Linked DNA regions of Elephas maximus indicus. The protein of the gene in region 2 binds, or shares a complex with, the protein of the main gene of each other region. Links are inferred from orthologs where the notes say so. Each region holds a gene or a part of one and is shown on either strand. Other genes may lie near its edges.

Evidence for each region. The genes of interacting proteins can lie anywhere in the genome.
Region 1: STX4 (region 2) and BNIP1 share a complex: the UniProt entries of both Homo sapiens proteins name them as parts of the SNARE complex. The link is inferred for Elephas maximus indicus from reciprocal best matches to the Homo sapiens genes STX4 and BNIP1.

What each region holds. Positions count from the first base shown.
Region 1 is NC_064820.1:192,250,318-192,257,758, forward strand, and holds the start of BNIP1 (vesicle transport protein SEC20), read left to right. Parts: upstream 1-4,380; 5' UTR 4,381-4,415; coding exon 4,416-4,499; intron 4,500-7,211; coding exon 7,212-7,304; intron 7,305-7,441. UniProt on the Homo sapiens protein: As part of a SNARE complex may be involved in endoplasmic reticulum membranes fusion and be required for the maintenance of endoplasmic reticulum organization. Also plays a role in apoptosis.
Region 2 is NC_064830.1:90,284,069-90,291,450, forward strand, and holds the start of STX4 (syntaxin-4), read left to right. Parts: upstream 1-4,250; 5' UTR 4,251-4,490; coding exon 4,491-4,520; intron 4,521-4,707; coding exon 4,708-4,809; intron 4,810-4,925; coding exon 4,926-5,025; intron 5,026-5,162; coding exon 5,163-5,237; intron 5,238-5,753; coding exon 5,754-5,824; intron 5,825-7,290; coding exon 7,291-7,382. UniProt on the Homo sapiens protein: Plasma membrane t-SNARE that mediates docking of transport vesicles. Necessary for the translocation of SLC2A4 from intracellular vesicles to the plasma membrane.

The DNA.
Region 1 (7,441 bases), on a different chromosome or scaffold from region 2:
AACAGGGTGAGTATTGTCCTTGGGAAACTAAACCTATGTGTGGCACCCAGTTCGATGGGTCACTCAATTGCCCTTCTTCACTGACAGTGATTTTGGAACCAGGTGAGCTCTTTAGCCACACAAGAGGATTTGAAAGAAGGAAAAACATTAGTTGGGAAATGCATTAATGTCCTGGCTAGCAGGTTCAGAATACCAAGGTGTTAGAAAGTCCTGGGGGTGCAGCATTCATTAAGCTTCTGCTAGGGGTTTTCCCATCAAGGACCTCAGGTGCTACTCAACAGCTAAGTGAGGCTGGTGGTCATGGCCATTTTACAGGTGACATGCCACGGACCCAGCTAATATAGAGCCCCAGTTCAAACTCCATTCTGTTTGCTGCACTACACAGATAATTTGTACTCATTTCTAAGGTGCCAGGCCAAGACACAGGCAAGATTTTGAAAGATGTTTGTGTAGAAGGGAAATAATGGGCTTATAATCTGAAAACCAGAAAGAACTAAAACCAGAATCTAGCAAACAGATCAATCAAAAGCTGGTCTCAGAATCAATGGATAAAGGTGACTGGTGAAGGAAAAGAGCATTGTGAGTGACTGACACTCACTGGGTCACCAGATTGCACACGTGTCCCTAACAGGTGGCTTCTAGCAGAATGGTTTAGGATTGGCTGTCTTTATTAGAAGAGAGTATGGTATAAAAAAAAAAAAAAAGAAAAAGGGAGCTGTGTTTTCTCTAGCTGCGGCATAGACATGCAGCTTGGGGACTTGCTTGTATAGGAATTTCTAGCAAAATGCATGATGTAAAAAGGGCCCAAGGTTATGTGTGCAGATCACAGCTGCAGGCATTGGGCTTTGCTGCAGTCCTACATAGGGTGCTAACATTTGAGGATCCAAAATGCTCAAGTGGCCTGAAGAACATCAACCTGTTTCTTCAAAAGGTTTTAATCTTAAAACATCATCAAGAGTAAACAGAAAACATACAAGGTCTAGATAAAGGAAACTTTAAAATACCCTGAAGGACACAGAAGAAGACGTGAACAAATAGATAACGCCAAGCTCTTCAACAGGAGCAATCAACGTAAAACCATCAGTCCTCCTCAGTTAAATAAAACTTTAATGCCATCCCAATAAAACATACCAGTAGGGTTTCAAAAGCAAGACAAAACTAAAATTCATATGCGGGTGGGGGGGGGGAATAAAAGTTAGAGGATGCTAGAGGGAAAAAAAAAAAGGGTGTTCAGTCCTAACAAACATTAAAATATAAAACTGTAATTATGAAACCAGTATAATTTTAGTGCACGAATGAGTAGATAGGCCAATAGAACAGAATAGAAAGTCTAGAAATAGACCCAAATATGTATGTGAATTTAGTATGGCAAATGTGTCATTCATAACCAGTAAGGAAAGGATGGATTCTTCAGTAAATAGTGTTGGAACAACCAGGGAACCATCTGAAAAAAGTAAAGCTGGTTCTATACCTCACACCATAAGCCAGCATGTATTTCAAAATGGATAAAGATGTAAATGTAAAAAAGAAAAACACCATAAAAACACTATAAAGAAATGTGGAAGGGTTCCTTTAAACTCCTGTGGGTGGGGAAGGCCATTCTAACTTGGACCTCAAATTGAGGAGCCATGAATGAAAACTGAGAAAAAAAAAAAAAAATACAGCCATAGAACACCATAACCAGAAAAAAAAAAAAAAACCAAACCAAACCCATTGCCGTCGATTCTGTCTCATAGCGACCATAAGCCAAGTCAGAATTCTATAGTCAGAAAAAAAACTTGCAACTCATCTCTAGGTGCTAATCCTAATATATAAAGAGCTCCTAGAAATTGATAGGAAAAATGAGCAGACTAAAATGCAAATACAAATAGCTCTTCAACACAAGATCCTCAATCTCATTCATGATAAGAGGAATGCAAATTAAAGAATAGCATTTTCATCTAAGCAGATTGGCAAAAATCCAGCTGTTAACACAGCATGTTGGTGAGACCATGGATGGGAAAACAGGCATTTGTACCACGTTGCTGGTGGGAGTGTAAACTGATATAACTCCTGTGGAGAGCAATGTACCAGAATTTTTAAATGCATATATCATTTGACCTAGCAGTTCCATTCGTTCTGTGGCCTTAGGCAATTCATTATTCTTCTCTGTGCCTGTTTCCTCATCTTAAAATGCAGATAGTTGTACCTTACAGAGTTGTTTGGAGGGTTAAATGAGATGAATACATAGCACTTAGGACACAGTGCCTGCGACATAAGGAGTGCTCAAAAATGTCAGTATTAACAGCAGCTAATGCACATTGAGCTCTTACCATGTGCCAGGTATTGAGCCTGGTGCTTTTCATGTATTATCTCATTTAATCCCCAAACTAACCCTGTGAAGTAGGTGTTAGGCTCTGATGAGAATGAGGCACAGAGCCCTCAAGTGAGCTGTAGAACAAGATTCAAGTAGAGCAGGATTTGAGCCAGGGTGGATGCCCAAGCTTGCGTAACCCTGCCTCTCTGTTAGATGAAGTGGGATGACAACTCCTTAAGGGAGGGGTGTGCCAGTGCTATAGGAACACAGAGGGGCAAGCAAGTCCCATAGCTCTGCTTGTACAACACTACCTAAGGGCCACGTTTGAGTTTTGAGAGAAGATGTGAATTTCAGCTATGGCTCTGCTACTTTCAAGCTGGGTAACCTTGGGGCGGGTTTTTAAAATCCACTTAGTCCGTCCCCTGATCTGTAAAACAGGGTCTATTCGTTTCCTTGGGCTGCCATAACAAAATACCACAAATCAGGTGGCTTGTAAGAACAGAAAGTTATTGTCTCACAGTTCTGAAGACGAAAAGTCCGAATTCAGGGTGTCAGCAGGGCCAAGATCTGTCTGAAGGCTCTAGGGGAAGATTCTTTCTTGTCTCTCCTGGCTTTGGAGCCTTGGTGGTGCAGTGGTTCAGCGTTAAGCTGTGAACCAAAAGATTGGCAGTTTGAATCCACCAGCCGCTCCTTGGAAACCCTATGGGGCAGTTCTACTCTGTCCTCTGAGTTGGAATTGACTTGTTTCTTGGCTTGCAACTGCAGCACAGCTGTGGTCACATGGCCCTCTTCCCTCTGTCTCTGTGTCTCCTCTTTTATTAACACACCATTAGGATCCACCCTACTTTAATAAGACCTCATGGTAATCCATAACATCTGCAAAGACCTTATTTACAAAGAAGGTCACATTCACAGGTTAGAACTAGAAAGTAACTTTTTTGGGGACACAATTCAATCCGTAACACTAGGGCATTACCTATTTCAAGGGTGGTTGTAAGGATTAAGAGAAACAGGCACTCAGGTCCTCACAACTGATGCTTATTGAAGTGAGCTGGGGAAAAGTGGGTGGGATGTGGGGAGGAGAGGATGGGGAAGGAAACACTAGGAAGAGGGAACAACACATCACAAGACTACAGATTCAGACATAGCTTTAGGAATCCAGGAAGGTGCCCCACGACCTTGAGGACCAGCTAAGAAACGAGCTGTTCAACAATAAAAATAAAAGAGCCACAATTTGTTGGGGGCCTGCTTTTACATTATTTTACTTAATACATCAAAACTACTGCAGTGAGGTAGAATTAATAAATTCAATTGTACACAAAGGAGAACCACCAGAAGCTATGGAAGGGGTGTAAGCAGGGAGGTGACTTAATCAATTCTGGGTTCTAGAAATATCCGGACAGTGAGATGAGGTGACAGGAGGTGCTCAAGCCACTTGCCTTGAATTCCATACGTTAAAAATATATATATATATATATATATGTTTACCATTTTCTCTTTTACCCCACAATTTATACTCACTCTAGAAAGTGTGAAAAAGTTTAAAGGAATATTTAAAAACTTGTTAATTCCACTTCCCAGAACCCGCTAAGAGACATCCCAATTACCATTTTTCTTCCAGTCTTTTTTTTCCCTTCTATTTAAAAAGTCATTAGAGTGATTGGCGGAAGACGGGGAAAGGCCACTGTCAGCCGTTTTTGATATTCTCTTCGGCCTGGTTTTATAACAGTAAAACCAAGGGGCGAGGCTGATTTTCCCCATGTGTCGGGGTTGTTGTGTGCCGTAGAGCTGATTCCGACTCACTGCGACCCTGTGGACAGGGTGGAACTGCCCCATAGGGTTTTCAAGGAGCGGCTGGTGGATTCGAGTTGCCCACCTTTTGGTTAACAGACTGAGCTCTCATCCACTTAGCCGCCAGAATGCCTAGTTATTAGGAAACCTTTGCAAATGACTATCAAGAGCCCGCGTTAGAAGTTTCGGTGCCGACCTCTCGCTCCTGCCACACTCAAACCGGTCTTAAGGTGGCGCTGCTGCAAGACGAGGAGGGGAGGGAAAGAAGGAGGTGCGAAAACGCATCTGAACTTTGGGCACCGCCGCTGTCCGTAGTAGGCGTCCCAACATGGCGGCACCCCAAGATGTCCACGTCCGGATCTGTAACCAAGAGATTGTCAAATTCGATCTGGAGGTGAAGGCGCTTATCCAGGTACTAATTCCCAGAACCCTGCCGGGTTCCAGCCGCCCTAATCCAAGCTCCGTCGGCCTCCTGGGCGCTCGGCGGTCTCTCTCCCGAACTGTCCCCACTTGGTCAGTTCTTCGAGACTCTTGGCCCCGCCGGGTGGCCGAGTACCCCTATGTCGTACCCATTTGGTCAAGTCCTGGTAACTGTTGGCCTTGATCCTCCATCCGGGTGCCGTTGGCTTGCTCCCTTTCGGACCACTCCCATGTCGCCCGCCTCTGCCCAGCCTCCCCTTTGTGGCCTCCCCTCCCTGGCCTTGCCCCGCCTCCGACTACCTCACAACATACCTGTCACCCCGTTATTCCCCTCTTAGTGGCTGCTTGCCCCCGCCTTTGACACCCCCCCCCGCTTTCCCGCGATAGCCTCGCGGGGGGGCCATTAGCTCCGCGCCCTGCCGGGTGCCCCGTGGCACCACCTGGCATGTAGGCACCGGGTGAAATGAATGTAACGTGGACCGCAAATGAGGAAATTGAGTAAAGCGCGAATGCCTGAATCCAAAGACGGTGCAAAACTAGGACCGGGACAAGAGAAGTCTGCTCGGGGAAAGGACTTTAGGGAGTCCCTCTGTTTAGTGTATGGGGGAATTGAAGTGTTTTGCTTTAACCCATCATCAGGGCCCTTAAACTACCATTTAAGGTGAGAGGCAGTAGTGCAATAAATCAGTTGACAACAGCAAGAGTTAGGAATGTAGTTCCCTAAGTTTACCAAAAGGAAATCCAGAGTTTTAAACCTTAGTTTTTAAATTTTTTTAAATTTGTTTTTGTTCTTCAGAGTATATGCAGCAGAACATATACCAATTCAACAATTTCTACATATACAGTTCAGTGACATTGATTATTCTTTTGAGTTGTGCAACCATTCTCATCCTCTTTTTCTAAATTGTTCCTCCCCCATTGACAAACTCACTGCCCCTTAAGTTTCCTATCTAAGCTTTCAAATTGCTGTTCTCAATTTGATCCTGTAGAGATAGATCTTAAAAAGAGCACAATGTTCAAGGCAGACATTCTTTACTAAATTAAGCTAAACTGTTGTTTGGTTTAAAGAAGACTTTAGAAGATATTTTTGCTTTAAGGTTTAAAGATTAAGGGCAGTAGATTCAGTGGTTCATCCAGCCTCCATGGCTCCAGAAAGTCTATAGATTCCATGAGAATTTGAAAATCTGTTTCACATTACCCCCCTTTTGACCAGGATTTTTCTATAGAATCTTTGATCAAAATGTCCAGTAATGGTAGCTGGGCACCATCCGGTTCTTCTGGTCTCATATAATCTTAGCTTTAAGCGAGTCATTTTTGCTTCCAACAAACTGTCATTAAATGTTAGACGTAGACTCAGAATTTGCAACAAGTTATGGCAAAAAGCAAAGTTTGGAAAGTAGGACTTCTTGGGTAGAACATATGCAGAATAAACCAAATTAGCAGTTTATCATATGGTGCAAGGGTGTGTGATTTAAGGAGTAAGCCAGAGAACAAGTGAAGAAACTTGATGCAAACACTTGAACATCACATCTCATGTGTATTAAGCCACAAAACTTCTGAGACAACTCTAGAAAAATTAATTGAGAGCTCATACAAATGAAATGACCTTTTCACACAATCTAAATTGTTTAGGCCCCTTTCTCTAACATTTGGGTTCTTGTAATTGCTAATGAGAGAGATTCATAATAGCTACATTCACTGCCCACTTACTGTGTTCCAGCTGCTCTGCTCAAAGCTTTCTAAACATACATAGTCTTTGAGATAAGTAATAAGGAAACTGAGACAGAGAGAATTTAGGTAACTTTCTCAAACTTACACAACTAATAAATTGCTACAGCCAGAATTTGGATACACATAGTCTGGTTCTAGAGCCACTCTAAAACCTAGCCCCAGTAATTCTGAATGTCCAGAAACAAATTCTAAATCCCTAAATATGTCTGTAGACATTGTGATTTATAATAGATGGTTTGAAACCATTAATCTTGTATGATGACAGAAATATAAGCATCATGATTTTCAAGTTGGAAAGATCTAAAGTTATAATAAACCCTTCATACTGGTCAGGTGATGTTTTGTTACACTTTAACCAACCAGGTGCTTTCTGGTCGATTCTGACTCATGGCAACCCCATGTTTGTCAGAGTAGAACTGCGCTCCATTGGGTTTTCAATGGCCGATTTTTCAGAAGTTTGCACCACTCAGGGACTCCTGTTAAACTTTAAAAAAAAAAAAAAACGCTTATTGCCGCAGAGTCGGTTCTGACTCATAGCAACCCTACAGGACAGAGTAGAACTGCACCATAAGTTTTCCAAGGCTGTAATCTTTATGGAAACGGACTGCCACATCTTTCTCCTATGGAGTGGCCGGTGGGCTTGAACGACCAGCTTTTAGGTTAGCAACTGAGCACTTTAACCACTGTACCACCAGGGCTACTTTATTAAAATTTAAAGAAAAAAAAATTTAGGGACTAATAACTAGGTCAAGCCAGAGTTGCATTTCTTGGTTTGCTTTTATGTTATCTGTTCAACATTATTCTGAAGCGGGATGAGAAAAATGTAAATAATAATGGTTTTGGTTGTGTGGCAGAGGTCAACGAGATATTGGGATGAATGACAGTTAGTAGGCCAACCTTAGCTGTGGTCTAGGAGAACTGTCTCTCGGTACAGATGGTTTAATTTCTCCTTCTTCTCTTCAATGTGTCCTAGGATATTCGCGATTGTTCAGGACCATTAAGTGCACTTACTGAACTGAACGCTAAAGTGAAAGAGAAGTTTCAGCAGTTACGGCACAGAATACAGGTGAGTGGCTACAGAACCAAGATGTTTGATGACAGTGAAGGGGGCTCAGTCCTGAGACTAACCTCTGCATCAGTGGATGCTTCAGAGCTGTCCAGGATCTTCAGTAGTAGCTGGAGTAGTAAACCTTTAGACAGTGA
Region 2 (7,382 bases):
ATACTCTCAAGAAGATAGCTGTAAGGGGTTCATCTCTACAACTGTTGGGTTTTGGCACAGAATTGCCTCAGATGTGCGTAAGGTAAATAGAGGCCCTTTAGGTGAAACGTGCATGGATACTTTTGGCTCCTGGTGACACAGCAAAAAAGGAGGGGGAGGAGGACCAACAACCTCCCAGTCAGCTCCAACCCAGCAGGTGCGGGAGAAAGACCCTGTGACAGGGACTCAGTCTGGCAGGCAAAATTAACCAGAAGCCAAGTGTCTGTAAGGGTCAGCAAGTCCCCAACGGGTGTGGAACATGGGGAGCCACCCCTGGCTGGTGTTTTTCTTGGATCACTGTATGGTGATTAAAAGCACAGACGCTGGAGCTCAACTATCTGGGTTCAAATCCTGACTCTGTCATTTACTTGCTGTGTAACTCTGGGCAAGTTACTTAACCTCTATGTGCCTCAGTTTCCTCCTCTGTAAAATGAGGATAATAATATAGTAGAACCCTCAAAAGCTGGAGCCTGTGTAAAGTGGAAACCTGTCAGTGAAGGAAAACTCAAATATTTTCCACTAAAAGGTGTGATGGAAAAAGTGGTAAGACTGTACCCTGTCAAAGGCAGAAAACGCATGAGACCTGGAAGAACAAGGCAGTCCTGTCATGTTCCGGCTCTCACAGGTTTCAGTGAAATACCTATCTCATAGACTTGTTACGAGGATAACATTTATAAAGTGTTTATACTGGTTCGTGGCACGCAGCAAACACAATATGGTTATTAAATTAAGAATTACAAATTTCATTCATTAATGAATATTTATTGAATAGTTACTACATGCCAAGCAGTGTTGTAGGTGGTGGGACACAGCAGTGAATAAGGCAGGCAAAAATCCCTGTCCTCGTGGAGCTTACATTCCAGCAGGGTACTGAAGACAGACAATCCACAAAATAAATTCGCAAAATATATGGCGTGTCAGACCCAAGCAGAGACATGAAAGATGCACAGGAGTTGGCAAGACTGCTCGCCTAGGGTCTGGGGCACAGTGGGACTCAGGAGATGGAAAGAGGAAGGAAGACACTGAGCAAGTGGCCGAGTGGATTCCCTGGTGGTTGCTGAACCTTTGAAGTAACAATCATCCTTATCCCCATCATATAATATCAGCAAACACTGGGATCATAGTGTAGTGGTTGAAAGCACAGACTCCAGAGCTCAACTATCTGGGTTCAAATCCTGACTCTGTCATTTACTTGCTGTGTAACCTAGGGCAAGTTACTTGGGAAGGCCCTCAATGAGATGGATTGACACAGTGGCTGCACAAAAATGGGCTCAGCCATAGCAACGACTGTGAAGATGGTGCAGGACCGGGCAGTGTTTTATTCTGTTGTACATATGGGTGCTATGAGTTGGAATCAACTCAATGGCACCTAACAACAACACAACATAATATCAGCAAACACTTAAATAGCACTTATTTCTTACCAGGCACTATTCTATTCGCGTTATGTTATGTATCTCATCTCATTTAATCCTTATAACAACCCAATGAGGTTTGTCCTATTATTAATCCCATTTTTCAAATGAGGGAACTGAGGCATAAACAGGTTAACTTGCCTAACAAAGTCATAGAGTTAGGAGGTGGTAGAACTGGGATTCAAACCCAAGTCATCTGGCTCTAGCGTTCATAGGACTGAACCTGCAGGTGGTGGGACAAGACAGGCTGCCACGCCCCAGGACCAGCCAGGGCCTGCCCTTCACACAGACTGGACTGGAAGGAATATACATACACCCTTGATACGTGTATACCCAAGACTCAATATACTTAACACACATCCAGCTTCGAGGCTGTTCAGAGGGCCTGGGAGGAGTAACTAAGGGCCATGAAATAGAGATCAGGGCTCAGCTCTGGAGAACTCTATCCTCAGACCCAAGCCCCCCAGAATACCCCTGGTCTCCCGCCCCCTCCACATGTGGCCTTAAGTCACCATCCCAAAGCCTGGTGATCCTACCCACAGACCGCAAATAACGTAATGAAAATCATAATCCTGGGAAGTTTAACAGAGGCACCAACAACTCCAGGTTGCTTCTGGGGCCTGAGAAGGCAAGTCATCAAGAGACGGAGAAACTAAGAGAGGCAGATGGGACTGCTGGGCCCCACATAACTGGAACCCATAGTAGTGGAAGCCTGCAGAGGGGCAAGCCATCAACAGTTTACAAAACCCTGTCACATCCTTCCTGGCCTCACTTGATACTGTCCAATTCTTACCTTAGGCAAGGCGGAAATTAGTAGACCAAGCTGTCAAACGGGAAACTGAGTCCCAGAGAGGAACAATGAATTATTCAAGATCACAGGCAGGACTAGGAATCAGGGATCCAAGAGCCCTTCCCCTATACCAATCAGACAGAGAGTATGAGAAAGGCAGAGGGGGGATGGGGACAGGAGGCAGGAGGCAAGTGGCAGTTAACTGAAGAGGCAAAGGCTGACCCGGAAGCCACAAGAGGAGGGAAATTCTTCTTTGTGACCTTCAGGGTATTCACGTAGCAGGGCTTGGGCTCCTGAAAAGGCCCTCTTGTGGGTTGATCAGAGCAGCAGCATCCTTGCTTTCTCATTCCCAACCCCAGGTGAGTTGGGCTCTAAAGGAAAGAGAGTGATTGAAGCCCTTCACAGAGAATCAATCGGATAGTACTTCACAGTGTTCAAGCTCATAACCATCGAAATTTAGCGCAGGGAATACCCACCAGCTCTAGTGCCAACCCATTGTACAGACGGAAGATCAAGGCCCAGAGACAAGAAATGACTTTCCAGACGTCTGTAGTAACTCGGTGATAGGAATCTAGATCTTCTGACCAGGGTATATGAGAGAGGGGCCATTCCTTCTGTTGCTTGAACCTCATATAAGCTCCCTGGGGAGAGCTCTGGGATCCAGGAAACCTGAAATCCACTCCTGGCTATCCTCAGAGCCACTGAGTAGCATTAGGCACTCCTCCAATAGAATGTAAGTTCCACCAGTGCAGGGATTTTTGTCTGTTAGTGCTTGATGTATCCCCAGCCCCTGGAGCAGTGTCTGGAACATAGTATATGCCCAGTAAATATTTGTTAAATGAATGAATGTCTACAAGGCCAGGGTTGGTAAAGTGTCATGACAGAGAGCCTGAAGCCTAAAGGAGAAAAGACCAAGAACAACGAGCTAAATCTTCAGATACGTAGAAGGCTAAAATTCTGTCAACAAATATTTATTGAGGGCCCATTCTGTTCTGGGTACTGAACCAGACTATGGGGATTCAGTTAAGGACAAGCCAGTCATGCCCCCTCCCTCCCCCCGGCCTCAAGAACTCACAGTCCACTGTAATGTTGAATGTGGGCATTTTCCTGTGGACTCCAGAGTAGAACCAGGTGGAAGGCGGGGGTGGGGGTGTAAGTGGCAGGGAAGGGAACGGTTCGATATAACGCAGACACTTTCCTCAGCCTGAGCTGCCCCGAAATGGCCTTGCTGCTTGGAAGGTGATGAGTGCAGCGGGACTGCAGTGTTCAAGCAGGGCGGCTGACCGCCCACCTGTCAGAGGCTGTGCCAGGAGTATGCGGGAGAGAAGATTCTGCTTTGGGTGAGGTCACTTTCCACCCCCAGATTCTCTGCCTACAAAGCCCTGCAATTCTCTAACGCTAAAAACTCAGATCTTATTATTCTCTGACTTTCAAGGTCCCATGATACTGACAGCTCCAAACTCTAAGTCAGCCTCTGCCCACGCCCCTGAACCCAAAAGAAATAAGAGAAATTCAGCAAGGGTCCTACCACCCACTGCCTCAAAAGGCCTCTCTGGTGGTACTCAGCGTCGCCCCCCAACTCTTGGGGGCTGTAGGGGTGTAGCTCGGTCGCGGGAGAGCCGGGGACATCGTGGGGAGGAGGGTGTCCCAGAAAAGGAGTTCATAGAGCCGGTACACGTGACACTGAAAACATCAAGTTCTGCGGTCCGCGGGGCTGAGATGGGGCCGGTCACATGACGCAGGGGGCCACCATGGGGTGATGTGAGACGAGGGGCCTCTCATATGACGTCCAAATGACGCATTCCCACCCCTTTTGGCAACTAGATTTCCGTTGGAAGATGAGACTGTTCCCGTAAAGGGACCGGGTTCTCACATCCTTGAAGTTTTGCTTCCGTTCGGGGCGCCACAGCTTCCGACTTCCTCCTCTCCCTGGGGCAAGGGAGAGACGCGTCCTTGTGCGCATGCCCCGAATCTTCCCAGCGGGGGCGGGGCTGAGGCTACGGGAGCTGGTAGGGGGGGAAGAAGAGGGAATACCAACCTGTGGAATCGGGGGGGTATCCGAGGCTGGCTCCTTCCCATTGGCTGTGGACCGTGCAAGGGACAGAGCCTCTGGCGGCTCGTGGAGGTGTTGGGGTCCGCAGGGTGAGGGAGGGGAGCGTCAGAGTGTGAGTGGGGAAGGGAGTTCCAAACTTAGATCCTTGAGGCCCTCGGGGCTCAGGCGCGGGGGAGAGGGAGCTCGGGCCGTCATGCGGGACAGGACCCACGAGCTGAGGCAGGTGAGGAGTCGGTGCAGCAGGGTTGGGAGCGGACAAACGGGGTGGATTTGGCTGGAATGCGGGACTTCTGGTCCTCGGGGCAGGGAAGGGTGGCTGATGGCAGGGAAGGAAAGACCCGGAAGCCCGTCGGTTCCGTGGGGCGAGAGCAGTAGCAAGAAAGTAGTGCCAATGACCCCGGCTCTGGCAGGGAGATGACAGCTCGGACGATGAAGACAAGGAGCGGGTCGCGCTTATGATGCACCCGGGCACGGCCTGGCTGGGGGACCCGGACGATGAGTTCTTCCAGCAGGTAAGGGGCTGCGGTCTTGGCCTAGATTTGCGAGGGGACGGGGCTGGAGAAAATGAAGAGCAGTGCGGCCTGGAGTACCCCGTGTCTCCTTTAGCTTTCGCTGTCACCCTCCCCAGGTCAGGACAATTCGGCAAACTATTGTCGAGCTGGAGAATAAAGTCCGGGAGTTGGAGAAGCAGCAGGTTACCATCCTGGCCACGCCCCTTCCCGAGGACAGTGAGTGAAACCCCGGGTGCAGAGCGCATGCTCAGTCCTAGGGGTTGTGGGGGTTGTAGTTCCATGCAGGTGGTGGCCGGGGTGGTTGGTTGAGGTAGGAACTGTTGTTTTGGGAGTTATGGTCATCTCTTGTTCAGGCATGAAGCAGGACCTGCAGAACCTGCGCGAGGAGATCAAACAGCTGGGGAGGGAAATCCGCACACAGCTGAAGGGTGAGCTCCTAGAACTTCAGATATATCCTTTCTTCTGATCCTACCTACCTGCTGGTACATCTGGGGAGTGTGGAATGTGTGGCCCAGAGAGGCTGGTGGTATATCCAGGTCACACAGTAGGCCTCTAAAACCTTGGTCTTCCAGTGTCCAGTCCAGCACACTTTCCACAGCAAACGCCTGATTTTTTCCTGTACTTTTATTTACAATGAAACCATTGACTCCTACAATTCCTCCTGCCCAGTGTGCATTCTTTGTGCAAGCAGATGGGGGTTTTATTAGGAGACCTCTGCATACCTGTGGGAATTGACTGATGCATTGTAAACCAAAAATACACTTTCTACTCTTAGAGGCTTAGAATTAATCATTTTACGCTAAATTGTATTTCCCTTAAAAAGTCTGTGGATGCAAACACCTTCCTGTTGTGTGGCTGGGGGTTGGCCCTCGCTCTGTGTCCTCATCCTCAGTCTTCAGAAGCCACAGGTCAACCCCTGCCCTTACCCTGGTGTCTTCCCACAGCAATAGAGCCCCAGAAGGAGGAAGCTGATGATAATTATAACTCAGTCAACATGAGGATGAGAAAAACCCAGGTAGGTTTCTTGTTCTGAGAACTAGGACATTCCAGCAAGTGTTTCATAGATCATTAGATGGCAGAAGTGAAAACAAAGGGCCCTTAGAGATCAAGTCCAACCTGATAATTTTCCAAATGAGGAAACTGAGGCTCAGAGAGAGAAAGGGTTCACCCAAGGTCAAGAACCCAGGTCTTCTGATTCCCAATCCATTTTAACAGTTGCTGAGTCCCCAGATATGTCCTAGGCTCAGCTGTGGGAGATATACTTTCCTGAGGTGGGGAGTTACAGGTTGAGTAGGACTTGATGACTAATGGTGCTCTGCCCAAGGAAGGAGAGGGAGAAGTCAAATGACTAGGGGTTTCCAGCCCACATGACAAGGACAAACTTGAATTTGGGAAGTCAGGAAGAGGAACTGCCCTGAGGGAAAGGTCACTGAATCAACATCTTAGTTAGGAGCTTCGAGGTGATCTGATGGGCCCCTTCTGGGTGTCCAGTGAGGACTGGTTGGGGTTGTTGGAGGTCATGGTTACAGTAGGTGAGCCCAGAGCTCAGCAAAGACCTCAGATCAAAGAAGGAGAGGTTTGGGCATCTTGAGAGCAGATGTGCCTCTGAAGAAGGAATGCAAGGAATGAACGCATTTCAGACATTGGGGGAAGACAAGGCAGGACAAAGAAGCCTCACAGAAGTCCAGAGAGGGTATTTCAGCAGGAGCCATGGTGGATATTTTTGTGAGAGGCAGAGGGCCTAGACAGACCTGTAAATCTGTACGTCAGGCTGACTGCCAGGAGTCCTGGCACACCTGTAGGCTCTAAGGAGAGAGGCCAGCAGTCAGCAAACATTCAACAACTATTTATTGAGTGCCTACTGACTTTTCTTGTTGTTTGGGTTGCAAAACAGTGAACCAAACAAAGATCCCCACTCTCATAGAGCTTACATTCTGGTGGGAACAGACAATCACCACAGTAAACATTAAATTATTTTAGAACATTGTAAGTATTAAAGAAAAAAAACAAAATAGAGCAGGAGAAGGATTGAAAGTGCTGGGAGAAGGTAGGGTTGCAATTTAAAGGTGGAGAAGGCCTCATTCAGAAGACGACATTTGAACAAATACTTAAAAGTCTTTGTGGGGAATCAGCATTCTAGGCAAGGAACAGGCCTAAGGTGCAAGTGTGCTTTGCTCAGGGAGGAATAAGGATGCCACTGTGGCTGCAGGGAGCGAGTGAGGGGACAGCAGTGGTAGGTGGTGAGGTCATTGAGGCAGTGGGGGAGGGGCAGATCATGTAGGGCCTTGTAGGTCCTGGTAAGAGCTCTAGCTTTTCCTCTTAGAGAAATGGGAGAACCTTTTCAAGCCGTCATAAGGTAGTTAAGGCACAGACACCTCACGATAGCTCATGCTGTTTGCTCACTGTACCCTCGGGGATGCTGAGGCCCAAACCAGGCAGGGATCCTCCCCAAGGTACCCAACCTATGTTCTCCACCTATAGCATGGAGTCCTGTCTCAGCAATTCGTGGAGCTCATCAACAAGTGCAACTCGATGCAGTCTGAATACCGGGAGAAGAACGTGGAGCGGATTCG